Linked DNA regions of Neodiprion lecontei. The protein of the gene in region 2 interacts with the protein of the main gene of each other region in a pairwise test. Links are inferred from orthologs where the notes say so. Each region holds a gene or a part of one and is shown on either strand. Other genes may lie near its edges. The genes, in order: splicing factor U2af 38 kDa subunit and splicing factor U2AF 50 kDa subunit.

Region 1 (14,369 bases), on a different chromosome or scaffold from region 2:
TTATCCTGGAAGTCGAGAAATTTTATTAGCGGACTGACAGCCACTGAATATGGGTTTGCGCGAAAAACGAATTGAAATAATTTATTGTAAACATGAACCAGGAACCACGGAGCGCTTATCCTGGAAGTCGAGTTTCACCGCGTAGCGGACCCGAAGCGCGGGATCCGGGAGGTTGAGAACCCGGTACTCGAAATACGTAGCGGACCCGAAGCGCGGGATCCGAGAGGTTGAGAACCCGGTACTCGAAATTTGCGGAGCGCGACTCTCATCCGTCCGCTCTACTGCGCGGTTGTTTCCAGACTGAGGAATTCGGCTAGCTGATTTGAGATTGGTGACGTCACTTTCTGAACATCCGACATCCAAACTTTGGTTTCGACCTTTAATACTATGTATGATGATGTGTGATGTACGATGTATGATGTATGATGTATGATGATATGATATGATGTATAATGATTTTAGGTTTCACATTTCATACAAGAAATACACACTTTATCTCTCCTGCCGATTCCAGACTCGACCGGCCAGGCCCTTCGATGGTCAGCCGTTGACTGAAGATATATTCATCAGTGAACGGGTCGGCTAGTAACGCTGCCGTTCTGCGACAGTTGGATGATGAAAAATTTCGCTCGTATCTTTCAAATGTGTGTTAAAATACACTCGAAGTGTTGAGAAGCGTCGTTCTTTCTCTCCCTATCACCTTTCTAGGTCTTTAAATCACTACGCAGCGTTAAATACTGTCTCATATACGAAGCATCCATTTCATCTCGTTCAGAATTAGCGCATCCGTTATGTATTGCAGTTACTCTGAATTTTTTTCCATCCGAATACTTTTCGAAAAACAATTCCGCTCCTCCACCCAACGCAGATGCTTCACTTTCGACCAGCTAAATCAGCGTTTCGATTCTATGCCTATGAAAATTCAAGATCGAGAGAGCAAATGAAAAGTTGTTGGAATAATTATGAATACTAATGTTATGGAATACATCGAGCGCGCGTCGAATAGAATCCCATTTCGAATTGAATAATTCTTCTTTTTTCATATCATAGCTAATCTAGTAATATAGGTAAATAGGATGGTTGGAGGTGTTCGGCAATGGTAGGAGGTGGTCGGCGCTGGCAGAAGGTGATAGGGGGTGGTCGAAAGTGGCCATTGATGGTCGGAGGTGGCAGGGGGAGGTAGGAGGCGTTCGAAAATGGTAGGACATTTTAAAAGTTAAAGTCGACGATGATCCGGTGCATCAATTTTATCGTTACAGATTTTCTTTTCCCATGAGGCATAGAGTATTCAACAACGATAATGCAGTCCTTAAAATTCATCATTCATCTCTGTCTGGAAAGCTAATTCGCAAGGCGTGGTATTCTATTCTATTCGCATTATTAGAAAAATACCCGTACTCTACATACACTGTGTCTAATCTTTTGCTACATTTGGTTTGATCCCCATGCTTTCACAGCACGAATAGTCGGAAATGTTTTTGATTATCCATAATAAAATAAAAGAAGTAACAAAGCTTAAATTTATTGTCAAAGCTCTAATGAATACATCAAACTGCGGTCGAATCAATTCATTTATTATTTGCACATGACCTCTGTATATTTGATAAATTATTCCTAAATACATTGAAACATATGTATTCATAATGAAATATCATGCAATGGGCTGTGTAAACTATAAACTATAATTTCTATCGAATAGCTGCTTTTATGTCAACAGGGCTTTGAGACTCAGTTCAGTTCGTCCTCCTCCACGTCCACCTCCGACCACCTCCAACAATCGCCAACCACCGATAACCACCTCGGGTTGTACCTGGAATAGCAATAAATATTTTCAGTATAAGAACACATCAAAAACATTACGTAAGGATTCATATAATCAGAGGTTTTGTTTTTTGGCTGTAACTTTTGATGCGTCGATCGCAGCGTGTTGGGACTGCGCCCGATCGATTTCTCTCGCAAAATTACGTCGGAATAGTGCATGAAAGAATTCATTCCAGCACTATTCAAAATCGCGAAAATTTTTGCCAAAAATGCAAAGGGGTCAGCCCTACCATTGGATGAAGAATATAAAGAGAGTGACAACCGAAAATTGCTCCGTGAGATGTTCTAACGGTAGAGTTGAGAACTTATTGCAGAACATCAGAGAGATTCCGATTTCGACATGATGCTGGCTGCATTCACCTTCTGAGTAACGCAGTCTTCGCAATGGTAAGACCAGGCCAGTACTTGGCCTGAGTGTACTTACCGAGTTGTTGGCGATACAAGAAATTAATAATGAGAATAAATATCTTTCAAAATTGGTAGCGAAACAGTGATTTAATTAAAGTATAGGTACCCGAGAGAAGAATGTATACATAGATCATGAATAAAAATAGATCAGAAGTAATAATGATGCAGAGACCAAGAAGTATAAATGTATATGCGGTCCATGTACGACATTGATATATGTGATTCATTCATGATTAATACGTGATGCATACTATAAATTTTATAATTTTCTACGAAACATACTAGATTATCTACTATAATCGGCTATAATATGACAGTAAAAGAATTGTTCGTTTCGATATGGGATACAATTCGGCACGCAGTCTATACATCCCATAACATTAATATTCAGAATTGGGAGTAGGAAGAGGACTGGGATCAAGAGTAGGAGTAGGAATAGAAGTAGGATCAGGAGTAGGTTCAAGAGTGAGAGTAGGAATAGGAGTGGGATCAGGAGTTGGAGTAAGATCGTAGTAAAAGTAGGAGTAAGATTGAAGTAGAAGTAGTAGTAGGAGTAGAAGTAGGATCAGGAGTAGGAGTAGGAGTAGAAGTAGGAGTATAGGAGGAGGATCGGCGCGGGAAGGGTAGGGTAGGGTAGGGTAAGGCATAGGGTAGGGTAGGGTAAGGTAGGGTAGGGGAGGGTGATGGGTTGGTGGGTTGGTAAGGTGATAGGGTGGCGGGGTGGTGGGGTAGGGTGGGATGGATAGAGTACCCCACCCTACTCCGCCTTCCACTCACCCCACCACCCCACCACCCTATCACCTTACCAACCCTCCAACCCATTACCCCACCACCATCCGCCTACCTTCAATCACCTTCGACGACCTCCGTCCTTCTCCTTCGCTTCCTCCTTCCCCACATCTTTCTTGTCCTCCTCCTCCTCCTCCTCGACCACCTCTGTTCACGTCCAACCACCGCCAACGACCTCCAACAACCTTCGCTAACCACCTCGGGTTATACCTCGAATACTAATAAATATTTTCAGTATTAGAACACATGAAAAATATTGTGTAAGGATTAATATGATTGTTTTATTCACAGATTTGACCAAGAAGATTTCGAGAAAATTAGAAAAAATTATACAAATTTTATTAGCTCATTGATAGCTACCGAATTCGGGCTTGCGCGAAAAATGAATTGAAATAATTTATTGTAAACATGAAAAGTTTCAAAAATTTTGGATAGAATATAATTACAATTGCCATTAAATATTATAAAAATATTTTACCCACCTTGCAGAAATCCTCGTTCTCCTTGTCTTCCTTGTCCTCCTCCTTCTCGTCCTCCTCCTCGTCCACCTCGATCACCCGCAACCACCCCTAACCACCATCGCCCACCACCTCCAACCTGGAGCGCAGGAACCATGGAGCGCTTGTCCTGGATTTCGAGGTTCACCAGGTAGCGGGCCTGGAGCGCAGGAACCACGGAGCACTTGTCCTGGAAGTCGTGTTTCACCAGGTAGCGGACCTAGAGCGCAGGAACCACGGAGCGCTCGTCCTGGATTTCGAGGTTCACCAGGTAGCGGACCTGGAGCGCGGGAACCATGGAGCGCTTCTCATGGAAGTCGTGTTTCACCAGGTATCGGACCTGGAGCGCAGGATCCAGGAGGTAGAGAACCTGCTACTCGAAATCCGCGGAGCGCGATTCTCATACGTCCTCTCTACTGCGCGGTTGTTTCCGGACTGAGAAATTCGGTTAGCTGATTTTCGTCGTCAACGATTACTATAGATCGATGACGTCAAGAGAGAAAAAATTTTGGGTGACGTCAATTTCTGAATATCCGAACACCGAAACATCCAAAATTTGGTTTCGAACTTTAATACTATATATGATGATAAGGATGATTATGATTTGTGACAAAGTGATGTATGTGTTGAATTATAAATACGTGCAAATAAATTCTCGGGTTATCATCTTGCTATATACTACTTTCGATTACCGTGTTCGGTACGCTTTTTGTTGTAGGTGGCTACAAACCACTTGTCTCTTTCTAGACAGCATTTTCAACATTTTTAACCGCACCTTCAGCACGTAACAATGTAGTCAATACGCATCTCTTGAAATTAAACAAATGTGCAACAGTGCAAGATTTAACTATACTGGCTTCAATTTCTTTCCATGCGGAATAGCAGGTTATAACTATGAGTATCTTTTGATACCGGTAGTGTGTTCATCCGACAGGATAAAAATTGTTCTTACGGATAATGTTGCGTTGGAAACAGGATGTAATAATCTGAAAGCTATCGGATGATTTCCCTTGAAAATCAGTTATTGACAAACAGCCGTTGATCTTTCAATAATGTTATGTATATAATTCTGAATATTACAAAATTTGTCCTGTGAAAACCAGATTTTAACCGTCCTTCTTAGCACTTTGAGAAACTGTGAATTGACAAGAATTAATATTTAGCATTTCGACGATTGAGAAGAAGAATATGACTTGACAAGTTCGTCAATATTATGCCCAAAGTGAAATATTTGTTTTAGCTATTTTTCCTGAACTATAAACAATGATAAAAAGGATATCAATACTTGATTCATTTCAATGCATTACATGTATTACGATAGTAGAATAATTATAACGTATGAAATTATTTTCTTATATCTCGAACAGCTACTCATAGAGCTTATACATAGATAGGCTCTATGGAATACGCTACGAACAACGGATGAAGACTTACAGACGAAAACCAAAAGATTTCCTTCGTAATTCCTCTGTTGTTGGTCCTACGCTCTTTTTAAGTTCTTTTTTCCATTTCTGAGGGCCCAATTGGTGAAAAAACTTCTGCAAAAAGGATTCAGAGACGAAAATTTACGGAGCTTTGAAAATCGCAACAATGCAAGGCCTTTGGATGTTTTCAGTCAATTTTTGACGGATTTTGGAAGATACTGAAATCGATTAATTTATACCTAATATGGACGTAATTTTGCGAAAGGAATCGATTGCGTGCAGTCCGAATACGCTGCGACCAACGGATCAAGAGTTACAGCCGAAAAACGAAAAATTTGCTTCGTGTTTCCTCTGCTGTTGGTCCCACGCTGTTTTTGATGACTTTTTAGCATTCCTGAGGGTTCGATTAGCGGAAAAAGAGTTCTGCGAAACGATTCTGAGAAAATAAATTTCCAAGCTCTGAAAATCGCAAAAACGCAACTCCAGCCTAATGTGGAAGATCACACTGATTTGACATTTCATCTTCCACATAACGTAGAACGCTCATCTTTCTCCAGAACCTTTTTTTTTATTATGTTCACCTAAACCAACTTTTCAGGAGGTGCCAGGGTGGAAAATCGCAAATCATTTTTTTCTGAAACACCCTATTGGTACATACAATCTACCTGGACAACCCTTGGTCAAATCTCGATGGTAGTGAAAATCGGGCAGGAAAGGACCAACGCCATTCGAGTATTTACTAATGCTGCACTGGTTTACTTGTTGGAGCCGATACCATTTCAAGTACATTTCAAGCATTGTTTATTGTTTTACAAACTGTTGCTTTACAATAACTGACTAAATACCAGTTCACAAAATGACGTTCAAAATAATACTAGTTACGAGAGATTTCGATATTTTACGGCTAAAATATTTATTCCACACGTGAACGTCGTTTATAACGCAGTTATTATATTGATAAACTTATTGGTATCACGACATTATAATTAATTCAGTAACTGCAACTCTGTTTTTCTGTTGTAAAAACTGATAAGGCTCGTTTCTTTTCCACAGTACTCGAAACTTACTGCAAAGATCTGAAATATGCTTCTGACAACTTTGTTACATCGAAAATTGAATGATAGTGAAATATCAGTTGAATTTAGGAAAGAGATACATCAATAGCGACCAGATCTTCCGTCGCGACCTTTATCATCTCTTCCTTTGCGGTTACGATCCTTAGATCTGGATCTTCTCTCGCGAGAGCGAGATCTACGCTTGCGATCGGTACGGCCTCGTGACTTTGATCGAGACCTTGAACGACCACCACCGCCACCACCGCCGCCGCCACCGCCGCCGCCTCCGCCTCCACCACCACCTCCACCTCCGCCACCTCCGCCACCACCCTTGCCGCCCTTCTTGCGGCTGTACAAATAACGGCGCAGCTCTCTTGAAATTGGTTTCAGATGCATGAAGTTGCAAAATCCAGAACGGGTGCATTCTCTGAAAGCAAGAAAATTGAATATTTAGAAACTCGACCAAAGAATTCCAAGAATCTTGAAATAAATTTATCTCTTCTGCCTGCCAATTTGGAAAATAATCGACTAAAATATACGGACTTTCAAACCAGAGACCAATCAAATATCAACGTTTCGAAATAAGCAATGCATTTCAATATCTAATTTGAAGTGCATTCTACACATGCAAAGAAACAACAGTTCTTCTTGTCCACCTTGATGTGAGGAAAAGATTTTCTTTTACGGACATAAAAACGATTGTTTTGATGGTTCTATATCTCTTCAAGTTGCGCTACTATAAATGGCTACGAAACACGTATGCGGATAATCTGATCGCACAGGAAATTCGACGCTAATAGGAAAAGGTGAATTCAAAAGCGTTGGGCAATGCAACCATGATATATGCAGTCTCTAGTTGCATTGTGTGCTTGTTTACGATTCAGAACTTTCCTGTTCCACATTACGAGTTTTTGGAGTAGTTCAAAAAGAATTTTTGGAAATTAATACTTCCATTGAACTTGCCCGATTGCAGATTCATTCTTGATTTCTCCACCATCACCGACTGGAATGGATAATCTGTTTGAAAAAACTGATTTAGTTAAGCCCTGTTCCATTGCCTAATTAGGGATCACAACAATTGAGACATTTTGTGATATTTTCTCGGCAAGGCATAAGCGACAGATATTGCAATCACGACAAGATTCATCTATGCATCATATCCATGGAAAAATAAAGTCAATTAACTTCTCATTAACACTGTAGATCCTAGTCAAGATAAAGAGATAAAGAACCAAAACACATGCAAGTACACACCATAAATCTGTTTTAGATAAAGGACCACAATTTGTAATGTACTAAAATGAATATTTTCATCGAAATACAAGCACGCATTACCATCTTTCACACACCAATTCGTTAATTCCTATTTAGCATTCATTGCTATTTTGACTTAATTTCACACCTGTAACTATAATTTCTTAAGAAATACTACCACACAATATCAATTTTCATAAACGACTTCGCATTGAACATAGAATTCTCCATAAAATTTACTAAATCTAGTTCCAGAAATGGAGATAGTCTAAACTTTATTGCTCAGTGCGATTGTGAGCTGAATTAAAACATTCCTAGAATGTTTCTTTTATAAAACAATCGATCTGACACTCGGTAAATAAATATTTCAACGATCTGCACATCAAGGTCGAATAGGTAAAACTAGTAATACCTGAAAAAAAAACTCATACATCAGAGTACGAACAAATACAATGTTAACTTTGAGAAATAGAATCGTAGCTCGAAATTAATCCATGATTAAAAGAAAATCTTTATACATGTACATTAAGACCCTGGTGCTTACCCCATTTCATACTGTCTGCAGCAGGCTTCCCTGAAATCTGTCACGGGTGATAGTTCGGCATAAACAGGCCTTCCACCGAACCACCGGTTGTTTAAATCATTGACTGCTTTTTCCGCGTCTTCTTCTCTCCGAAACTTGATATAGACATTACCAACAAGATGGTCTCCGAGGTTATCACAAACGTTCATCTCTTCTATTTCCCCATACTTATCTTCACACTCGACAAATACATCTTCGAAAAAGTTGTCATAATGCTCCTGCATCTCTTCATCGGAAACATTAGCTACCACTATTCGTGAAAAAGAAATTAATTTAACAAACATGATACAAATTTAACAAAGGTCTGATTCATTATTAAATCCTTCTATGATTCAATACTCACAATGGGAACCATCAGCGCTCTTGGCAGAGTTCTGCGGATTGACGTAAAGATTTTGAAGCAGGCATGTCTGTCAAGAAGAAATAACATTTCAATTGTGCATCAGAGGTTATAAATCAATAATTCAAAAAAGGTATTTGCTTACCTGGCTGAACGTAGGTTTGTTGTGGATACGTGAGCACCTATCTCCGTGCCGACAAGCTCCGATTTTAAAATAAAAGGAGCAGTTTACTCTGTAAAGGTTAAACGGAACGCCGTTAATCAAGAACGCACAGCCCACACGCTGATTATGTATAATTTCTTTTTCTCACAGAATACAGAAGAGTTTGACGAACTTAAATTCACTTACTTGTCTTTCTCGGTACCGAAAATGGACGCGAGATACTCCGCCATGGTTCGCCTCTATTTACTATTGGACTCCAAATTGAAAACCGTCGAACGATAAACAGTTAATTAATACACGTCAGAACAAAACCGACGGAGACCATCCTCCCGCGACACGCTCCAGAACAAAGAGTGTAGCGGTGAGTGGAACCTGGCATAAGGCAGCAATGTAATTTTCCGTATACGAATCTCTGCGCCCTCTAGAATATCAGTGACATAACTAATGTCGAATGTAGCGCTAAAATTCAAATCTCAGGTCCAGAATGTACGATCCAATGAATAACAAATCAATATAATCAATACAAATATTTTTCATATTATATAGGACTCATTTTATTGCACAACTTTGTCGAAGAAATTGTAATCCCAATACCAAATTGTCTATCCCTCCAATCAAAATTATACTTAACTATAGTGATTTTTTCCTCAGAGTGGCAACATTGCTGTACTATCGGAGCTGTTCGACCCATAGACCCGAAAGCAGGCTACTGCGCTACAAATTTAACAACGGCAGTTTTAAGAACCGACAGAGTGATCATTTGTGACTGGATCATTGAAGCCATTCCGAAATGGAGGATGAAACTGAATTGTTACAAAATATATTTACAAAAGTAAATAGCGATGTTATGAACCAGGTATGTGTGTGAATATAAAGATCTAAGCTATTAATTCTAAACTAAATCCGTATCGTTTGAACGTTAGGTCCATCACCATTCCCATCTTCGATTTCTAGTTCCTTCACGCCTGTGTCGACGAAATATGCGGGCGGAAACGAGTGACGTTTCAACAGTTTACAAACAGCGTTGAATGGACCGAGAATGAGTACAAAATAGCCCGTCAGGTTATTTTCGATTTGTTAAGAAATCCGGCAGTGCTGTATCTTGAAAATGAAAGGGTAATTTATCAACAATCATTCATTCATTTATTCTAAGTATCTTGGACTTTTTTTATTCAACATTTTTTTCGTAATCATTTACGCGACAGATGCCACATCGATATGTTGAAACGCCTGCCGAATTACAACTTGCGATACGCACATGTGTAAATATACGAAGAGAGCATCTGGTTAAGGCGCTATTGAGGGAGCATTCAATCAAAAATGGAACGACGTTGCTCGACTTTGACTGGAGATTAAAGGTACTTGAATAGAGAAATAATTGTATAAGTCAGCTGATAAAATTCAATAATTACCCCTTTTAGTGGATTATGGGATCAAGCAAACTCGCCACGTTGAAAGAACCTCTTCTGCAGTTGGATCTTATCATCGAAGATAGCAAGAGTCAGCAAATCCTCGATCTTGAGTTGAACAGAGATGAACTCGACATGTTGATAAATGCGTTGGAGGAAGTGGGAGGCTGATTTGAAAAACTGTTATTATACCGAAATTATAATAGCGTTCAGAATAAAGATATGCTTACGCTTGGATAATCTTATTCTATTCCACCGTATTAATTATTTCTATCATACCCATAAGTTATACTATTTTTAGGTATTGAAAACTCAAGTATTGTAGTATTAAAACCTTATGTCGAAAATGTTATACTGCACACATAAAGTAGGTACCTCCTAGAATGAGAATACTAAAAATCTTGATTTTGACATAAATTACATGAAGCAACATTGACCCTAAAGCATAATTACAGAATAATGAGAAAACCAAACGTTTTCCTGGACAATTCAATTGTACCGTATATGTAATATTTACACCCAATTTATACAAATAATTTGAGTTGTCGTAAGATTGATGAACAAGTAATCATCTGTTTATAGAACTCTAAAGTGCTTTACTATGCGAACTGTGTATATATAAATATCTATTATGAGCGCCAGATTTTTTTTTCCCCGTTGTACCTTATCGCAGTAAGTATGTTCACTCAAGTCGGCTGATATAGGAGAGCATAATGCGTTTTATAGGACAGTTTAAGAGGATCATGAGGCAGTCGGAAATTATAGAGAATAGATACACTTATTTCACAGTTTATTATAGGTTTGTTATAGATAAATGTTGAATAGTTTAGTTATTATTATAACTGCGGATCAGACACTGAAAACTGAATTTCGATTTTCCAAAACGTCCACGAATGAAACTCCACGTTAAAATATATCGTCTTCAACGCAACATAAAATACCGAGGGATTATGATTCAGGGACGTTTTAGATTTACGATTTAATATAATTGATTGGTGCAGATCAGTCGCATCGAAAGAATTTAAATAGAAAGATTTGTTGGTTTATCGTCAAATCTTATTTCGAAAGAACATTCAATTTCGTTGTAAGTTTGTAACCATTATTACAGATAATAATTAAAATCCATAAGAGTAGGGGTTTACTATACAATTTTTAATTTTACTTCCTTCTTGCTTATCAATAGGTATATCTTTTAAAACCAATGTCGATCAAGAGCAATGGCCACACGCTTCTCTAACACTTAGAATAATAATTCTGATTTTGGGGCGTACATATGGATTCTTTTTAAGTTTTTTTTTTTTTTTCGTTTTATTTCATTTAGGTTTATACTCTCTACGCTACGAGCTTAATAAAATCTTTCATAATTAATTAATTAGTAAGTTTTACTTCAACCTCCGGAGATTCGTATAAACGTAGAAATATCGTATGAAAAATTTGTAAAAGGTGTTTCAGGGATAATTGGGTGGATGTGCGGGGCATCGTAATTGTAATTAGGCAATATTCTTTTAATAATTATTATAGAAATTAGGATAGGTTTTGCAAGTATTTTATACGGATATAATTAGCATCCCGAGACACACTTGGCTCTTTTTTTTTTAGATTATATATCACTTACATTGCTCAATCTTACTGTATATTTACTCCATTTATGTACCGTGTTATTCTCGTTTTCCGTATGTAAGTTATGCGTGAGTGTGCATGTTTATGTGTGTGTACGTGTGTGCAGCTCTTTATTACAACTTAAAACATCTCAAATAGTATAAATACAAAAACATTGTAGTTTAAAAAAAAAAAAAAAACCGACAAACAAAAATACGAGGAAAATAATTAAACTTATGCACGGTTTCCGATGTGAAACTAACTTTCATATTCATGCTACGCTGTGTTGCGTTGTGGTTAATGGTGGTTGTGGTATTGTAGTTTTTTCTTGAGTTTTCTTTCGTCTTTCCTTTTCCACGTGGTGCATTGTGCTGAGTCGATAGGGTGTTACCCTTTGAGTATTTCCCTCGGAGTACCCAAGATAGAGTTCCATCTATCTCACTCCAATTCACTTAGAACGCACAGTAGGCCTTTCAAATTCTTTCAATATTTTCTTGGGCTTAATTAATAATTAATGACACTTTAAAATTTCTACATGGCAGGAAAATTGTCACCTGCGATGGGCACTGCCCAAAGATAAAACGCCATCATCTATCTCGTTCATCCACTTATTTTATGAAGAAGTGTATATCGCTCGAGCGCGAATTTCGGTGACTGATATATATTTTTTTTCATTTATGAAAACCAATTAATTAGATTACTACTTTCTTTCCAATTACTAAATTATTTATCCATTTTCCACTTGTGTTTTTCCAAAGATTTTTTCCTATCAAACAGTTAATAATTAATGGGTCTACTATAAAGTCTGTATGCTCTCACAATGTTTCATTTAACAATCGCGCTTTTCTTTCTGCTGCTCGTAATAAAAGAACGTTATTTTCTGTTTAGTTGCAGGAATGGTCCAAATATATGTATACATATATATATATATGTGTGTATGTATATATATATAATATACTTTTTTGGTTTTAACGAGAAAAAAAAACTTTCTTCTTCCCAAATACAATTCGGTTTAACGCTGCTTATTCCGTGATAACCTTCTGGTGGAGTGAATCATTGACAATTTCCTGTAACATTAAGAAGAACGATGATGAAAAAATTACTAATTTACTGCGCAAAACTTTTCTTCAATTCAATTCACAAGTTGATCCAAATTTATTGTTACTATAACTTCATACTCACGTTTGCGTTGTTGCTCTCGATGGCTTCGTTGACTGCAGCCGCTACTGCTTTGTCGCTGATTTCAAAGTCCTCAATAGCCTGTAAAGATGAAAATGAATAATTGATAATCTGACAACCAAAGTTTTGGAGATTAGGAACACATAACTGTAAAAAATGTTATACTACGTCGTAAAGAATAAAACGAAAATAATGCATTATATATAAGTCAGATGGCCCCTCGCTCTGTAGTCTTCACTTGATTATTTATTAATAAAATTCAGAACTACCTATACTCGACGAGCAATAAATAGTCGATTGGCGATCATCATTCTTGCAAGATTTACAACAAACTTTCATCGAAACTTTATTCTGACTACAATGCGTCTGTAGTCTTTTTTCTCTATTGAATTCTGACTGTAGTTTGAACATTTGAAAAATATCTTTATTGATTACCTTGGTCACAGAGGCTACATCTTCGGTGAGAGCGGGCTCCGATGGCGGAAGCACTGGCAGCTCTGCTGGTACAGGTGGAGCAGGACTAGCCGGAGCTTCAGTCACACTCTCTGTTGCGCTAACTTCAGCTGGGTTTTCAGCAGGCGCTTCAGGCTCGGCAATTTTCTGTGAAATGAATCCCTCATCAGACAAAAGCTTCGAATAATATTTCCACTTAAATTGTACATACACCCAAGTTCCCTCTGTACTAATTACGTAAATCTAAATGATACTTCATTGATTAAATTGTGCATTTTCGATAATACGCATCAAATAAGTGTGAATTATTGATGCAAAATATTTACTTCCATTATTTTGAATTAGACCGGTTGCTTTAAATGCTTCACCTTATGTGTAGAATAAATATCTTACTACGCCAAATGGATGTTATTAAATAATTGATCCGGTCGAATGACAAGTATAAAAATTTCGATAACTTCATGCAATGATAATATTATATAAGTCCCCAGGCAAGACAATTCACATGCGCAGCATACCATGTAACACATATTCTACTACAGACGCGACGTTAAACAAGGCTACAAAGTGAGAACGTTGAAAATTTGTTTGATTAATTATCAATTTCTAGATTTTACTAACTAATAGTAAATTTTTCAGCTCAACTACGTCTATCAATGAGTTTGTTTTCTAGAATTCAAATTATTTAACAGTGTGTTATTCATAACAATGTTTTCTTTTTCCGAAGAACACTTCCTCCACTATTTTATCATTATTACAGGCATCAATTTTGCTTCTATTTTTCAAAGCCAATCTACGTGGCTCTGACTTTATTTTGAGTTGCAATAAAATTATGTTAATGTTTCAAGAAAACCAAGAGGCAAACAACACATGGGTTCGGGAATTTTGGGACATAGTATTAGAGATTGTTAATAATTTTGTGTCGTAGAAAGGTAAAAGATTTTCGTAACCATATTATAACACACAGATACTAATGGCAGGCGAATGTCGCTGGAGAGTGAGATAGGAGACAGATTGCCAAGAGCACAGGCGTCGATTAAAATTTATGGGTAACAAACGACGAGAATTCTTAAAAAAGAATTCTTTGATTCCATAATGCTGTGGCTGATACCTTGTTTTTATAGACACGTACAAATACTATTTCGTTTGGTTTTTTCAAGGGAAATCCAACAAACAAGGGAAAGAGAGTTCAAAGCCGATAAATGCTGCTCTGTGTATCTTGCATCATGCTATTCGATATAAATATTAATAAGTTGCCTAAGAATGTCATGCTGAACCCCACAACGAGCTCTACATGACAGAAATTGCGAATGCGATCTTCGGCAAGTACAATGACAGGTGGATGTAATATGTTAAGTTCTATCGATACGGGATGATGATGTGGGGGAACGTATA
Region 2 (17,057 bases):
GTGGGACCAACGGCAGAGAAATTACGAAGCAAAGAGCATCAGCTGAAACATGTCAAAAACGCAGGTTCTGATTTTTTGGCTGTAACTATTGATCCGTTGATCGCAGCGTATTGGGACTGTGTCCAATCGATTTCTCCCGCGAAATTACGTCGGAATAGTGCATGAGAGAATTTATTCCTGCACTTTTCAAAGTCGCGAAAATTTTCGCCAAAAATACAAAGGTGTTAGCCTTACTCTTTTCTTCATTTTCGGAGCCGAAAATTTTTGGTCTCAGATTCGATTTTTATGACCCTTTCCTGACTAATTCGACCCCTAGGAACTCAGAGAACGCAGCGAAAAAAGCGTGGGACTAACGGCAGAGAAATTACGAAGCAAAGAGCATCAGCTGAAAAATGTCAAAAACGCAGGTTCTGGTTTTTTGGCTGTAACTTTTGATCCGTTGATCGCAGTGTATTGGGACTGCGTCCAATCGATTTCTCTCGCAAAATTACGTCGGAATAGTGCATGAGAGAATTTATTCCTGCACTTTTCAAAATCGCGAAAATTTTCACCAAAAATGCAAAGGGGTTAGCCTTACTTTTTTTTCATTTTCGTAGCCAAAAATTTTTGGTCTCAGATTCGATTTGTACGACCATTTTCTGACTAAGTGTACCCCCAGGAACTTAGAAAACGCAGCGAAAAGAGCGTAGGACCAACTGCACAGAAACGACGATGGAAAAAACCAGCAGTACTGCAATGTCTAAATACTCTCTTTCGTATTTTGGCCGCAACTAATGATTCGTTGCTGGCAGCGTGTTGGGACCGCGCGCAATCGAATCCCCTCGCAAAATTACGTCGGTATAGGATAACAATGTAATCATCATCGCATTTTGTCATTCATCCAAAAATATACCGAAAAACCGCACAGAGGTTATTACTACTTTTCCAGAGCCAATGATTTTTCATTTCATAATCGTTTCAAACGTCCCTTTCCAGACTAATTTGGCCCTCAGGGTTGCAAAAAAGACATGCGGCACAGCGTAGGACCAACAGTTGAGGAGATGCGAAGAATTATCTTAGTTTTCCGGCTGTCACCCCTGATCAGACTAGTTGACAGCTAAAAAGTCACTTATGCGATTCATCACAATGCATATCGTCAATGTTGGCAATATAAAAAGTAGATGAGTATATAGAATATACATGTATGACTTCTTTTCCAATCGCTCGCATGCAGCGGAATCTTTGAAACACATACGCACAGTTTCGAAATCTACGTAGAATCACAACACCTCTCTCACACACCACTGTAGAATAACTTATCTGGATGTGTCAGCCAGATAAAATACTTGATTACCGGTATCTCTTATCTGTTGATTCATGAGGCTATCTTTGGTAAAAAGAGGCGTGCTACATTCGGTGAGAAGCAGCCTTCAACGCTGGATTGTGTGCAATTCGTGTAGAGTTTAATAGTGAAAAGTGAAAAGAAAAATCATAAAAAATGCGTGCCAAAAGTATTTTGTACTACTTTGCCATTGGTCTATGTAAGTTTATCACTGCGATAATTTATATAATTTATATATATAAGCAAAATTACTCTATATTACTTAGGATTACTCCTAAGATACTTATACGCTGAACAATTTTGTCCGATCAATGTAACAATTTTTTTAAAATTGTACAAAGTGCTATTGAATGTAAAAGATAGCAAGGCAATGTATTGCTTCTTCGTCAACGGAAAACTAGCTGTGGGTCAATTCTTCTTCATGTTCTAATGAAACTACCGAATATCTTGCAATGATCCAATGTTGTTTGATATTTTGTTGCAGTTATTCTCATTTTGCGAATTACAGTCACATTAGAATAAAAATTGTACAATTTCACGTCCTCAAACTTCGTCCTAACGAAGTAAAATCAAAAATATACCTCGCAAAAATGCTAACTAAGTATTTCACTCGATATCAATAAATCATTATTCATCCATTAATCTACACGTTTGATCTCCTCATGTAATACAGTGATCATGGGAATGTTCATGGAAGAAGTTGAAGCAAGGCGTAAAATTCTCAGAGGACGTAAAACAATAACCAGACGTTACTACAGTAAGTAAATTAAAATACAAACAATCACGACAAGTTTTACGTTTTTTATAGAAAAATACAATTGAAAACTAAACTCTGATCATATTTCAGGAGGCACCGCAATTCCAGCTTGGTCAATAGTTTTGATGACCGGTATTGGAATGCTGATTATCGGTGCTGGTTTTTACGGCCTGCTAAAAAGGCTGGTAGTGGACAGCGTGGATACAGACAGTTCTTACCAGCCTGCGTTGCAACAAGAAATTTAATTTCTACTAACACACTCAAATAATCACCCATTTATTACATCGTCTTGATACATTTAATTTTACGTCAATATAATGTTATTCTTATAGGCGAAGAAACAAAAATTTTTTTTTTGGAATCCGATCTAAAAAATTCTCCATTACGTCTCTGTGGCGTTGTGATTAAACATCATACAATAAAACAAAAAACTTGTTATTCCCACTCAAGATGATACAAATTTTATTTATACCCTTTCTATATTATATTTATATTTACATGTATGTCTTTGCCAATAAAGAGCGAAAAATTAGGATTCTTTGTTTCAATGTAGTCATTATTTTTTTTCTTTTAATTTTATTTATACTGATTGGACGTTAGCCTATACTTTAGGCAGTAGCGACAAAATCTAGGTAATATATTCTACCAATTGTATTAATTTGCAAATAATAATGCATGGCATATTAATAAAATTCACCATAAATCATGTATATATTAAATAAATAACATATTTTGCGCAAGATTTTGCCCCTACTTTTCGGGGACACATAGGTATTAATTATTCATTATAAATAATGTTCAATCAATCATTATTTGTCGACTTGCTGAAGCAAATATTCAACTCTCAAGAGCATTGGTTGCACTTGAAAGAAATTATTATGAAAAACAAATGACCTTATATTCATACGGAAAGGTAACCGCTGATTTCCGTACAGATCACAAGGAAGCCATAAAAAAGAGACCGTACCTTGTGCCCGTATTAAATTAAAGCACGAAACGACAATTTTGCGACTCACAAAGAAACAATATTATTATAAGAGTTCTGCTCGTATTTGCTTCAATATTAAATGAATTGCTCTCAAAGCTCGTGATAATTAGTAGATAATTGTTACTCCGTTGTGAAGAACGCTGGATACGTCTTGAAAATCGTCAATAGACCATTGTCACGTAAGCACAAACTTTGCCTTTGATAATTATATAAAACTAAGAAGAGGGAAATATCGAAGGCAACGTTTAATCTCATGTTATCGCGCAAGGTACTGATTCTGTTAGCCATAGCCATATTTACCGTAGTAATGTTGCTTTTGTATATGATTCACAAGAAGAGAGAGCAAAAGCAGAGAGATATTTAAAAAAAAAGGGAAACGCCCAATGGATGGTCCAGCATAGAAAGAAAAAAAAAATGTTAAATTTAAATGAGATACAACTTCTTCTAATCATTTGAAAAGTGGGAAACTAAGAATACTTTAAAAATAATATCAATACACTGATTTAGTAGCACTTGATCATAGTTAAAAGCATATCAATTAACGAATAACATACAAGTAGACAAAATTTTTGCTACAATGACAATTGCGTTCAATTTCTGATTATTTATTGACTGTTACGAGGAATGGAACTCGTATATATTTAAAATTCTCGGCGATGGTACTTGTCAGGGTCAAAATAGGACGTTACAACGACTCGATTGTTGAACTTTCGTCCAGTCAACGTTTGCTGTGCCTTTTGACAGTCTATCACGCTGTTGAACTCAACAAAAACCTGGAACAAAGTTAATCATTGATTAGACATAGTTTTACAGACAATATGGCAGTTAATCGATGAAATTCGGAGAACGATTCATCATGCTGTAAATAATTGCATAAATATTGATAAAACGCCGAACCTTTCCACATCCAGGAACATCAACGCCTTCGATGGGCCTAGGAATTTCTACTGACCGAACGACTCCATATTTGTTGCACTCCTCCTTGATGTCTTCAAGAATATCTTCATACTCCTCCTCTTCCATTAATTCCTCAGGTGTTACCATATTGAGTAAGCATAACACCTAGAAAAATTTTATTGAAGTAGTTCAAGTAAAGGTTCAATTTGGTCTGACGATCACGACAAAAAGAGAACTTCTTCAAAAAAACAAATGTCCCCTGTACCTCGGTAGCTGGACCGCTAGTGCCAACCATCGAGAGACCAGGAACTTGAATTTGAACTGGAGCCTGAGCGCCGATCATTGGATTCTTAGCTCCGACGCTGGCCCGTTGTACAATAAGTTTTTTATCCCCAAGCTGCATCCCATTGAGCCCAGCTATAGCTTGATCGGTCATCGTGACATCAACGTACTCGCAAAACGCGTATCCTTTCGATAATCCTGTAGCTGAATCCTTCACCAAGTTGAATGCCCGGAGTTGTCCAAAGCTCATCAGCAGTTCCTTCACCTGTTATTTCATTATCAATCATTTCAAGTATTAATTCCGAGGTATCCTGATTAAATTTGAAAGTGGAATGTCTATTTTGAAACATAACGATTTTGCTCACTTTTTTTTGTCAAAGTCTGGCATATTCTCAGCAGATATCAACGAATCGAATTGAACGCAAAAAAAGAAACAAAATTGGCTCTATCATGATTATGAATATTCAAATACTTCGTATATCAATGGCAAGAATCTGGTACAATAGCAATCTACTTTTTTTCGCGTATATTGTTTATTTATAAAAAGAATTGAAGAATCGATCTATAATCTATGTTGTTCACCTGTTCCTTTCTTGTGCAATTTTTTAAGATCATCTACAACCACTAGCCCCAGCAAGTGTTCTGTTTACTTTCATTGCTTTCATAAATGTCACAATATACTTATATTTACTGATGATGTATCATATACTATTAAGATAATTACAAATAAATTGTGATGGAAAAAGTTTATTGTTCAAGTAACAAAAAGGAGGAATTTATTGCTGATTGTTAAACCAATTTAAATGGAAATCGCGTATCGTTACAATCTATTAACTACACGCAAACACTTGTAGAAAATAAATTGAATAGGGATTTTCGTTTCCACTGAGAGAAATAAATCGACTATTTCAATGTTTTGTTTTAACAAAGTTTGCATTTCGAAATAATCATTAAAAAAATGAATGTGAGGAATGTTGAATGTTTAGCACGCCAATGTGCTCGTCTATCTATTTTTAAACGTAATTAAATGATATGGATAAAATTTGTACATGAGACGATAACGCATTTCGATACATGAAATACAAACTCTTGAATATAAAGTTTGTACCAAATGCAACACGAAGTGCGTTAAGGTGAGGGTTTGTGATAAATGTATTAATATGCATATACACATAAAAATACAGAATCGTGGGTTGTATACTGCACTAATGCGCACTACTATACCTTTTGTCTACTTACAGTGTTGACATTTTGTCAGAGACACTGGAAACGTTGTAGTTTTTTTTTTTGTTGATAACAGCACGTTAAACTTGTATCAGTAAATTATACAATTTCAACCAAGTAAGTCATCTCTTTTCATACAAAAAAAATAACTGTCACATCCAAAGATGCGCAAAGTTAAATTCCATACACATTTGTACATAGAGGCCAAAGCCAGGTCTGACAAGTATGGATCACGTGCTGTCATCGTGAAACTCTTAAAAATCTAAGATACGCACCAAATTCAGAAGCCATTTAACGGTCGCCGTCCAAGTGGCTGCAAAAGTCTCTTTCCAAAATGTGAAAACAAGCAAACTGATATGAATACTTGCCTCAAGAAACCAGACTACCCGCACTCCGGCAAGTGTAGTATTTTGTCATGTTCAGTAGTAGTAGTAGAAGTGGTAGTGGTAGTGGTAGAAGTAGTGGTAGTGGTAAGCGAATGCTTTTGATCGGCACGACCCTAAGCTAAGAAATGGGGAGAAAGAGCACTGGTATCAGTCCACATTTTCTTTATGTTTCCAAACGATTTTCATTTTTGTTGTTGATTTCTTGTACTTTTTCTTTTGTTATGTTACGGTTATAAGATCACTGTTATGCTTTTCATCATAAATTTAACAAGACACTTTTTTTGACTTTTTAAATCCTTACTTTATCATGAAAAGAAACATTAGTTTCGTTTAATATACAATTATTGGCCTGTAAAAGTTGAATGCCTGAAATACGTAGAACGTGCCTGTAAAGAAAACAGCTGCAATAGGAAGGAAAAAAAAGTATTCCTGAAATATATGATACTGGATAAAAATCTGTAGTCATAACCAGATGCACCTAAAAAAATACCTGTAAACCCACCCAAAAAAATACCCAATTCTCTATGGACTGTCCACTCATTTCTCCCGCAGACCTAAAAAAAAAAAAATATTCAACAGCCGGACATGAAATTCTAACAAAATACCAGAATTGAATTGCTTCCAACTTTAGCTTATGAGCAAAAAAACAAAAAATATACGATTCAGAAAGGAAAGCAAGTTATATGACCAACATTGTACCATTTCTCCCTTCATCTCATTCACCTTGTGAATAAACATTTTGTAGAGTTTCCTTTTTTGCAAATAAGAATTTAAAGCAATTATTCATTTTGTTTTGTTACAATTGAATATCCAGACGTGTTGAGATGGCTGAAATGACCCCCCTGCCCGCCCTGCCAGCTTCAGTTTGACCATTTCCTTCGATAGAAAAAAAAAAAAAAAATGTCTAAATCCTTAGGATAAAAATTACAATCGGCTGGATCCACCGTACGAACGAATGAATGTACCTAGAAAGGCTGTAAAAGAAAAACGTCACTGCGACAGCGTGCCACCTAAAAGCTGTAACGCCACTAGCCTCTTTGCCCTAATTGTACGACATGCTTAATACTCGATATTTTGAATGAATCAAAAAATCTTTTGCACATCGACAATCTTTGCACACACCTTTCAAGTACAGTCTTATCTGATTTCGAAATTCGCGGAAAATTGATTAAATGCGAAGGTAAATGAGTTTCCTGGATGGACAAAAATACACAGGCGTAACTTCATTCGAAATCTCGTAGAAGAGGCAAAATGAAAAATGAACCCCTACATTTCTATGCTAGCTAAACGACCCTAAACGACGCTGAAATCGGAACAATACATACCTCTCAGGAATCTCACACACGGGTGTTGTACGCAGAGTCTCTGCCAGATCGCTAAATACCTAGTTTACAATTTAATGATTTCTTCTCACTTGTAGCGGTGAGAAACGATATCGTAATATGCATTTATTTGCTGAAACGATACCGATCCTCAAACCCCCACCAGTGTTCACTAAAAAATATTTCAAATAATATTACGGGGATGTTTCAAGTCTGGATTTTGCGTTTACCGTCTTATCATGATTCGAGGAATAGCAATTTGAAAATTTCTTTGCATTCGGTATGTTAGTTCATCAGTTTCACATTGAATCTTAAAAGCTGAGAAAGAGCTATGTTTAAAGCGACTAACTTACAACATTAATTTTCCAAAAGCAAACGAGAAAAAAAAATATGTTTGCACAAAGCAATAACCAACGTTCTCCACAAAAATTGATGAAAAAATTAGCATCCCACGTAATATGCACAGATAATAAATGATAATGAACCCAAACAAGTAAATATTGAGTTTGTACTTAAAACATCTGGCTGACATACCTGTTCCTCGTTCAAGTAGTTGGGCAAACCGCCAATGAAAATCTTGTGTGGTGAATCTGTAAAAAGAAAGAAGTTCTCCATGTGACCAAAAAAGTTGTGCTCAATTTCTGACGTGCCATTACATCTGACCAGAAGCACATACCAGGAATCGTACCTGGCACGTTCATGCTAGGGTTATCTGTCATGCCAGGCATCGGCTGGTAATCGTGCGGCCTCCTTATTTTCAAACTTTGTCCTTTGAAATTAATGCCGTCGAAAGCCATTGCTTGTGTCGTTTCATCAATGGACCGGAACTGTAAGAAATATACATCAAATGACATAGTGGTTCGGTAGAATCAATTTAGTCAAAGCCAGTAAATGCGGAGTAAATACCTCAAGGAAAGCAAAATTTTTATCAAGATTGATCTGGCAGGCAAGTACGGGATTTCCAGCAGCCTGTGCAAGGCCGGAAAGATGCATCTGCTGGTTGAAAAACTCCATCATTTCCTCTTCTGTAACTCCGAATGGAATGTTTCCGACATAAAGTCTCCTAGCCTGACGTGTTATTGTGCTGCCCACAACAGGTACTGCTGCCTGAGGGGTATCAGCTACAATGTTCGCTGGAATTTGTCCTGCAGCTTGCATAGCTTTGTACTATAAAAAACAAAAAGATTGAATAAGATTTGGAATCAATCTAAGCTTTGAAATTGAAACTAATGGCGTTCGAATTGTCAAAAACCACAAACAATTTTATATTACTGTATCACCTGTAATGGCGTGATGTGTTCGAAACCTGGTGGCGGAACATCCCAATAAAGAGAGGGTTTTCTCCTGCGAGAACTGCGACCCTTTTTAGGTGAGCTGCTCCGTTTTCTGTCACGACGATCTTTTGAACGAGACCGTGACCGCTTCCTACGGTCCCGACTCCTAGATCTGTGTCTCCTATCTCTGTCTCTTTCCCTCTCCTTTTCTCTATCTGGTCCTCTTTCCTGACGCTCGCGATCTGCAAATGACTCTTCTGGTGAATAAAATGATATCCATGCTTTATTATTTCTATTCTCAGTACACATGTCATGATAATAGAATTATTTAAAGTTTAATTTTTTTTTTTTTCTTGACATGAATGTTGTTGCCCAAGTCATTTCTCAACTAATTTTAGCCTTATCTACTTTTACCATAAATGTTGTTACCTTAATAATTTCTGAACTTAATCTAATCTTGGAATTATTTACTAAAGGAAGCAGACACATTGTTTTCAACTTATTTTAGAAAAAGAAAGGGAACGAATAAATGAAACAATTATCAAGTATCGGATTGTTCCTTGAAATTCAAATTCAAACATCGCTACCCAAGCCATAACATATTTCTCCGAAATGAATACTTCAAATGCAAATTGGCCAAAAAAAAAAAAACAATGTATAGAGTAATTTTCGTACAAGGGATCATAACCAAGTAGATTAGTTTACAATAATAGTGTCAAGAAAAAATTACCGCTAGTCGAGGGCTAGTGAACCTTTCTGGCTTGTTAACAACTGAAATAAATGACATTGTGACTGTGACGAGATTTTAGAACCCTGCCCACGATGATTGCCAGTATAATAGGGCCAAACATGGAATTCATCCCGACAGCGAAAGGCGGCTCGAAGGCTTATCAGATTCCATTTAAGTTTCGAATTTCGTACGGTGCAAATCGTTGAAAGGTTGGAATGTAAGTATACGTTGCGAAATAAGATCCGTGTGTTTACTCGGTGTAATAGACGCTGCCGCCATTACTGAATCTTATTATAAGGTTGCAGAAACCGCCAGGAGACCACCGCCGAGGAGGTTAGTACGGGGTCTGAATATGTATTTGATTTAGGGACGATATTCTCACCTCCATTGAAGTCCTCTCCCATTGTGAAAAACCGTAAACAGCGATACTATTCACAACAATGAATATCACAATTATTCACTATGCGTAACACGACGGGTGACACCTTATTTTAGAATCGGAATATCGGCGTAGCGAGCAGCCAGATGACGGAAGTGAACAGTTTTCGATTTTCGAGAGTTATCGAGCGACGAAACTTCTGTAGACGCCAAAATGGCCGGCAAAATTGATTCGGTCAATAAACATCATTGAGATAATAGTAATTATTATCCAATGATTGAAAATTTATATAATTACTGGGATATTTAAAGATATTATAAAGAATCGCAACTATTTCCAAAAATATTTGCAGAAAAATGTGCAAGTTATATCAAGCATGGGGCGCATGGCATATATAACTATTTCCTGTTTTAGATTGATAATTATGCACGCAGAAGCAACGCGCCGAATTCACAATTATCCAAACTAGATCGTAATATCACAATAACAGCTACCTATCTGATAGTATTGGAAAATTATAATGAAAGAAATGTTGAGCCTCCTTTCAACTCGACCTTATTATAACCATCATCGGATTTTTTCTGCAGTATCGTACTTTTTACGTTAAATGAAAAAAAATCATAATATTACATATTCGCGTTATATTTTACGGCTCGCGATTGGCTGGTCAAATTATAATTTTTTATTACGGGGGAAAAATTTTGAATGAGAAAAATCCAGCAATTTGGATCACTCACAGAGTCCTGTAATATAATTTAATTTACACATCACCATGCAGCTGCTGCGTAAGTCGCTTGTATATAATAGGAAAGAAAATAAGTATCTAACGCAAAATAAACTGATAAAAAATATTCCCAACTTACAAATTCGTAGAAGTCTAAAGCAATCTTGTTGAGCGTATATCGACATAACTAATAGCAGATTATATTACAAATAAACATAAAACTACAATATAATACTATATTTATGATGTCTGCGTGTTTCTAATAATCCATCGCGTTAAATAGTTCTAAAAATGAAGGTTAAAATAAAAAACAAGTAATTAAAAAAAAAAAAGAACAATACGAAAGCGATGCATTTTGATGCAATCTATCCGATTGTAAATATTTTTCTCTCTTGCCATCTGTTGGATTCGATTTGCAACAGTATGGGTTAGAGGCGTCAATTATCGACTGGTGAACAATATTAAAAAAAAAATAAGAAATAAAATAAGACAAGGCAAAAAGTCGTTGATAAGTAACCGTTGACAGCAGCCAAAGCAGAAAAATTACAATAACAATTATTTATAATCGAAAGCGATAAAACGCAATGAAAGAAATACGTGAAGGAGAGTCGATACTTTTGTCGAAAAGTGTACGGATTCGAAGAATAAAATAAATTTCATTGATGTGCCGTTGTGTATTAACCTTATTTTCGCACTTTTTTGACGTTCCTGTGCCTTTAGGCCTTTGGCGTCGAAAGCAACCTCGACGTAAATCGAATAAATGTCGTAACAAGATATTTTTCCCATATTCTTTGCACAGCAATTTATATTTCGTTAAAAATCGAGACACCTCATCATCAGCGACAAACGCATGGGATCATATAAAAGATATGGAATCAAATTACGACGAGGATCTGAACGTGAATATATTTTTTCAACAATTGCAGCATGAGTACACGAGTGTATTTGAAAAGGCGGTAAACGAGGGTTGGGTCATTTGCGTTCCTCGTTCAGGCAGCTTTTCCCGAGGCTCTCTCCTGGCCGACGACTTCCTCGGACACATTTTGGTACCAAGCGAAGAGCTGCCAGCTACTCACTTCCGAACATTGACTGGCAAGGAAGTGAGGCTATGCAACAGGGTCCTAACTGTAGATTACGATATCGCAAAGCCATGCACAGCGCATATATTATTCGAGGAAACCTTCTATACCGAAGATTCACAGAAGTATCGAATATGGTGTGTCGAGCGGATTCTGGAGCGAAGTTCTATCACTTCGTACGAGTCCCTGCCCACTTTGACAAATCTCAGAGAATGCGTAGATTTTCTCTGGACGGAGATATTGAACAAGGAGGTGCTCGAAGAGCTGGATAATGCGGTTAAAGAATATCAACAAACTGACCAGGATCAGCTTGAAGATAAACCGTTGCAAACTCAGCGTGATCTTGTTGCTGGTTTGTACGCGAAAAGCCTTCGCATTGTTCTCAGGGATTCGAGATTGAGGGAGAAAACAACTGCCAGTAGGCATTTTCTCAACGGTATAAAAGTCGCGGTGGAAACATATGTTCTTTACGGGTTGAGGAACCTCTTACCAAAATATGTTTCCGCTTGCACCGCCTTTGATGATGCGTGTCTTAATAAAACGATTAAAAACCTGCACGAATTGCAACTACGGGACCTGGGCGTCAGATCTGATCTTTACGGCGGCGCAGTTAGAGGAAAATTGGAGCTGGCAAGGCTCGATGGTTTCGCAACGGTTCTGGGAAAAATAGGCTGCCTTAAACGTGCGGTTCACTTTGCATCACAAGGTGAGAGTTCAGTTTCATCAGACGATTTGCTTCCAGTTCTTATATTCTTGGTGATAAGAGCGGGTCTGCCTAATTGGATAGCTCAGCTAACGTTTATAAAACAGTTTAGGTTTTCATCGACCTCAGAATATGAAACTGATGAAGCTGGCTTTTTGGTTACTTCTCTTGAGGCAGCCATTGAGCATATCAAATCTGGAATGTTGACAGGATCAGTCCACCCTGAGGCAGACGGCACGTATGAATACGTGTCTGGTAAAGACGAGCTGGAAGAAAACAGAGTGGATGAAGTATCAATCAGTCATTTTTTTGACCAAGTAAAACACGGAAATACGTCAGAAGTTGAGAGAATACTGTCTAAGGAAACTATAGATAAAATTAGACCGCCAAATGTTAAGCTATGTCATCCTTTATGCTGCTGTGAATCGTGCGAAAAAAGTTTAGCCAGGGACGCAAGGTTCAGTTTACCTACCGTTAATTCCAGAGATGACAGAGGATTAACGGCCCTTCATATCGCAGCTTTATACGGTCAGGCTAACATGGTGGACTTGCTTATAAGTCACGGAAGTAATGTTGATGAAGTTGATGCGGATGGTACTACTGCTTTGCACTGTTCAGCTGCCAGAGGACACCAGAATACATTACTCTTATTACTTCATGCTGATGCCGACCCGAGAATCACAGATGCTCACGGGAACACTGTCCTCCATTTAGCGGCTGATAATGGTCACGAAGCCTGTGTCAAGGCAATCTTATACTTTTTGGAGCACACTAAATGCCCGATAGATCCAAATTCATCAAACACTAACGGAGACACGCCGCTTCATTACTCCTCAAAATGGGGCTATACTGGAATAGTGGAAATCCTTCTGGAACACGGAGCGCAACCCAGAGCTGTTAACAGAAGAGGCCAAACTCCGTTGGTGCTAGCACACAGTACTAGCATCTCTAAGTTATTGGAAACTGCGGCGCACAGAGAATTTTTTTCGACACCTCGCCTGGTGCCAACCCAATCTTCACCGGCGATGACGCAGTCGTTGAAAACCGAAAAGCAATTTGAGCCACCTTATTCCACAGAGAGACTTCGCAGAATTGAAAGACTCTTGTCAGCAATTTCTGTAGGTGATCTTAGACTGGCTTACTACTATCTCGGCTTAGAGGGACCTGATCAGAAGCTTGTACAAACTACAGCACCTGCGATGTGCCACCCACTTTGTAACTGTGAACAGTGTACTTTGATAGAAGAAGTTCCCGAGGAACATCAGCGGAAGCCTGCCTTAGGAATAAATAGTCGGGGTGGTGATGGCCAGACTGCTTTGCATATTGCCAGCGCAACTGGTCGTGCAGAGTTTGTTCAGTTACTGTTAGACGCAGGTGCAAAGCTTGGTTTTAAAACAAAGTCCAGAGGGCAAACCCCGTTGCATTTCGCATGTTTAAATGGTCGACTTGCTGTAACAAAAATACTTTTAAATAGCGGAGAATGCGATGTCAATGTTAAGGATAATTTTGGAGACACTCCGCTCCATTTAGCTTCCAGGACAGGCAATGCAAAACTTGTTGAATTGTTAGTTAGACATGGAGCTAATCCTAAGATTCGTAATTCGAAAGCCATCACTGCACTAGAAGAAGCTGAAGAAAAAGTTATGGTCAGTATAGCTAGAATACTGAATGAACAAACCGCTGTTTCTACTTAGCTATTTGTTGCAGCTGTTATAAAAATTACATACCAAAACAGTAGACTACGCATATTGCCTAATAAACAGTACCAATGTTTATATTAATACTTAATATTCGTGAAATAAGTCACTAAATGGCCATGGTCTTTGAGAAACCAACAATCGTTATTGAAATTTGTATTATTACCAGTGTTTAACATTTGTGAATACAGTTCACTGAAGAAAGTGCTCTCAAAGATGAAAAGGAATAGCTGTAGTTTATACTCAAGTTATTTTATATCTTGAATCACGCTGATAGGCTACAATTTTTAGTTTTATCGAATTTAGGTCCTTTTTTTCTTTTCAGCTGTTAGCCACGAGCTTAAGTACAAATCAACATAAGCAATAATGCATGCGTACCAAAATTTCGTTACAAATTACAGATTACACATGAATAATGAAATCGCGACAAACATTAATAATTAGACTGATTCTTTAGTTTTTATTTTACCACAAACTTTAATATGTATAGTATATACAATAATGTATGAATCGTGTAAAATATAATATATAATATACCATTTTTTTGCTATGTACAGTTTTATATGGTATTTGCAAACATGTTACTTAAATATATATTATGCTTGTCATTATTGACTGTTATTCGTAATCAATTAACACGTAATTGGTCATCCTCAAAATATACATTCCATGTTTGGATAAAATTTCACTGATATAAATATAATCCAATCTAAACTAATTGTGCTTCACAATCAGTTAAAACGTAATATCTCAAGATAAAATCTGTAAAGATATTTTGATTCAGAAACAGATTTAAGCATTGCACACTCTGACGGATCCTGACATCTGATTGCCAGCTATAAATTAATTGACCTCTTCTATACGTTAAAACAGGTTTTTCAATGCGGCTTTTAGAATGTTTAAAAAATGTGTCTTATCAATATATCCAAGTTTATAATCTTTAGAAATAATTTGAGTAAATAATCGTATAAAACTCAAAACCGTCGCAGTTCCCCACATCCAAGCTTTTGTATACATGCAAAAACTATTTTTGAGTCTGTGTATCTTGTATGTGTATGAATTAAACAATACATAAATAGAAATCGTCATTTCTACAATATCGTTAAAAGATACATAACTTGTTCTACGCATAGATTAATTAGATTTTTCGTGACTTATGATACAATTTTTTCCGAGTTATCACAACAGATCACTAGAGTACTTTTATTTTGTTAAACCAGACATCTTTTTGTCGATTGTGTAATTCGGACAATTTTAACTAATCAACGATCTATAAAATCTCAAGCAAACTCTGTTTCATTCAAATGTTTCGACTACCCCAACTCCATAATCACAACATAGACATTAAATCAAACTACTGATACTTTTTTACATACTCTTGCAACGATTTCTATCGGTGCAACAAGTTGGCATGACTTAAAATTTGTTTTTCAACATTGAAAATGTTGATATAAAATGTGATATACATAAAAACAATGTCCGTTTGACGATGAGCACATAATTTTACATCATGCCACGGTTGAGCGTATCAGAGCGTTTTTATCGGTAAACTCTAATACTTGAAACAGTTGCATCAGGTATATTAGTACTGCGTTGTATTGCTTTTTATTTTATTTTATTTTTTTTTGATATAGAGAGAAATTTTTTCAATGAGATTTCACTATTGTTTTAAGTCGCTAATTCCTGTCTTTTACCTTTATTTGATTCTATTATATGTACTTACACAATGTCTGAGCAATCAAACCCGGCATTGTACAGCTCTCAGTTCATATATCAGCAGATAATTTTTCACTACAGACATAAAGTGATCACAGGTAAAAAAATACACTCTACTCGATCCTGGATATTTATCCAAATTCTGAGTTACTAAGTACCCTTGATTCCCACCCTATTAGTAACTAGGTAGGTAAGTAAGTCAACTAACTACTGTTGGAGAACAGATATTTTCTTTTTTAGAATTTCGCTGTATTAATTTCTTACTTCAAACGTATTTAATTTAAACGTCAGTGACCCCCAAGGAATACAAAAACTCTTGAACAAAGTTCTATGACGTTTGTATTGTAAGAATTTTCGATTCGCATAATTTATGAATTCGTAGACCAAAAGGGTATCTTTAAAGATAGAAAAATCGCGTAGTCTACTATTCGGCATGCTTAGTCTACTATTCGGCATTCCTTAAGGCCACTCAACAATACAATGTATTTATGTACTCTAAGTACTGAAATTTTGGCACTGCTTTTTATAACGGACTTTAATATTAAGAAAATAAATCGCCTTGTGGATTGATCGTTTTTATAAACCGTTCACATTTTCTCTTCAGAGCCAAAAATTGAGCAGCAGTATCGATAAATAAATTTTGAGTTCAATAGTAGACCACCTCTTCTATGTGCATAATCTATTTCAAATCAGGTAGTGTATTTTTAAAAATTAGCTTTGTAATATTATTCCTATTCGTAACTAGAGAATACTAACATTCTTATTACCTTAACTCACCGGAGGCAACGTCCAGGGGACAGATTCCACCGCTTTTCGTCGTTCTTGTCGTTTTTTCTGTCCCCTATATTTTCCTCGATTTGGACTCCAATTGACCGCATCACGTATTCTCCATGACGGAACAGATGATTTTTCTAACTTCTGTGAAACGTCTATACTATCAACCTCAAAAGGAAATTGAAACTCGGGATCATAGTACTGTCTTAAACTAGGATCATCACGACAACTCTGCATCGCACACCACGCGTGATTCAACAAAGCTGGAAATCTATTCAACCAATATGCTGTAAATTTATCTGGAATTTGTCCCAAGCTTAGTTGAGCCTGCGGTGTCAATTCTCGATAATGATGTTTCTGCAATGAAGAAAAAAGAACGTATAGTAAGTGGATTTAGTTTTCTTGCTGATATCTAATCCGACACGACTCAGAAATAAAATCACCTTGTTTCGAAGAGCTCTTAACAAATCTCTGACACTCTCTCCACGATAACTTCGATATTTTCGAAGATCGGTAGCAACTTCGACGTCTATGTGTAAGCGCCAATCTTCTTGCACAACAGCAGATGCTCCAGATTCTAAAGCAAGCAGAGCTGGACTGTCTGGGTCATCTTTTTCTACTCTATCGCTGACGTCCTACATACATTTAAGATGCAATAAATAAATTTCGACAATTTGACATCCATTGTTCTATGTATCTTAGATGATTCGTGCAAAGCCAACCTGGAAAAATCCAAGTATCTGTGCAGCGCTCCAAAATATGGGATGTTGGTGAATGGCAGTAGCCGGTGGGCGATCAGCTGGT

Evidence for each region.
Region 1: the proteins of splicing factor U2AF 50 kDa subunit (region 2) and splicing factor U2af 38 kDa subunit interact in binary tests that used the Drosophila melanogaster proteins (3 or more experiments, as listed by UniProt). The link is inferred for Neodiprion lecontei from reciprocal best matches to the Drosophila melanogaster genes U2af50 and U2af38.

What each region holds. Positions count from the first base shown.
Region 1 is NC_060262.1:38,671,884-38,686,252, forward strand, and holds splicing factor U2af 38 kDa subunit, read right to left. Parts: upstream 8,707-14,369; 5' UTR 8,565-8,706; coding exon 8,521-8,564; intron 8,405-8,520; coding exon 8,317-8,404; intron 8,242-8,316; coding exon 8,175-8,241; intron 8,082-8,174; coding exon 7,793-8,081; intron 7,012-7,792; coding exon 6,958-7,011; intron 6,422-6,957; coding exon 6,097-6,421; 3' UTR 5,724-6,096; downstream 1-5,723. Other genes in the region: COMM domain-containing protein 8, read left to right, coding at 9,125-9,190, 9,289-9,450, 9,540-9,692, 9,756-9,914; A-kinase anchor protein 200, read right to left, coding at 12,365-12,409, 12,525-12,602, 12,957-13,121. UniProt on the Drosophila melanogaster protein: Necessary for the splicing of pre-mRNA. Binds to the polypyrimidine tract of introns early during spliceosome assembly.
Region 2 is NC_060261.1:3,585,459-3,602,515, reverse strand, and holds splicing factor U2AF 50 kDa subunit, read right to left. Parts: upstream 9,723-17,057; 5' UTR 9,586-9,722; coding exon 9,564-9,585; intron 9,476-9,563; exon of another isoform or gene 9,461-9,475; coding exon of another isoform or gene 9,436-9,460; intron 8,709-9,435; coding exon 8,458-8,708; intron 8,345-8,457; coding exon 8,084-8,344; intron 8,005-8,083; coding exon 7,854-8,004; intron 7,768-7,853; coding exon 7,712-7,767; intron 7,159-7,711; coding exon of another isoform or gene 7,135-7,158; exon of another isoform or gene 5,980-7,134; intron 4,511-5,979; coding exon 4,229-4,510; intron 4,129-4,228; coding exon 3,964-4,128; intron 3,840-3,963; coding exon 3,708-3,839; 3' UTR 2,439-3,707; downstream 1-2,438. Other genes in the region: uncharacterized protein LOC107224427, read left to right, coding at 1,478-1,520, 1,995-2,078, 2,169-2,323; ankyrin repeat domain-containing protein 27-like, read left to right, coding at 10,947-13,760; serine/threonine-protein kinase/endoribonuclease IRE1, read right to left, coding at 16,248-16,610, 16,697-16,888, 16,976-17,057. UniProt on the Drosophila melanogaster protein: Necessary for the splicing of pre-mRNA. Binds to the polypyrimidine tract of introns early during spliceosome assembly.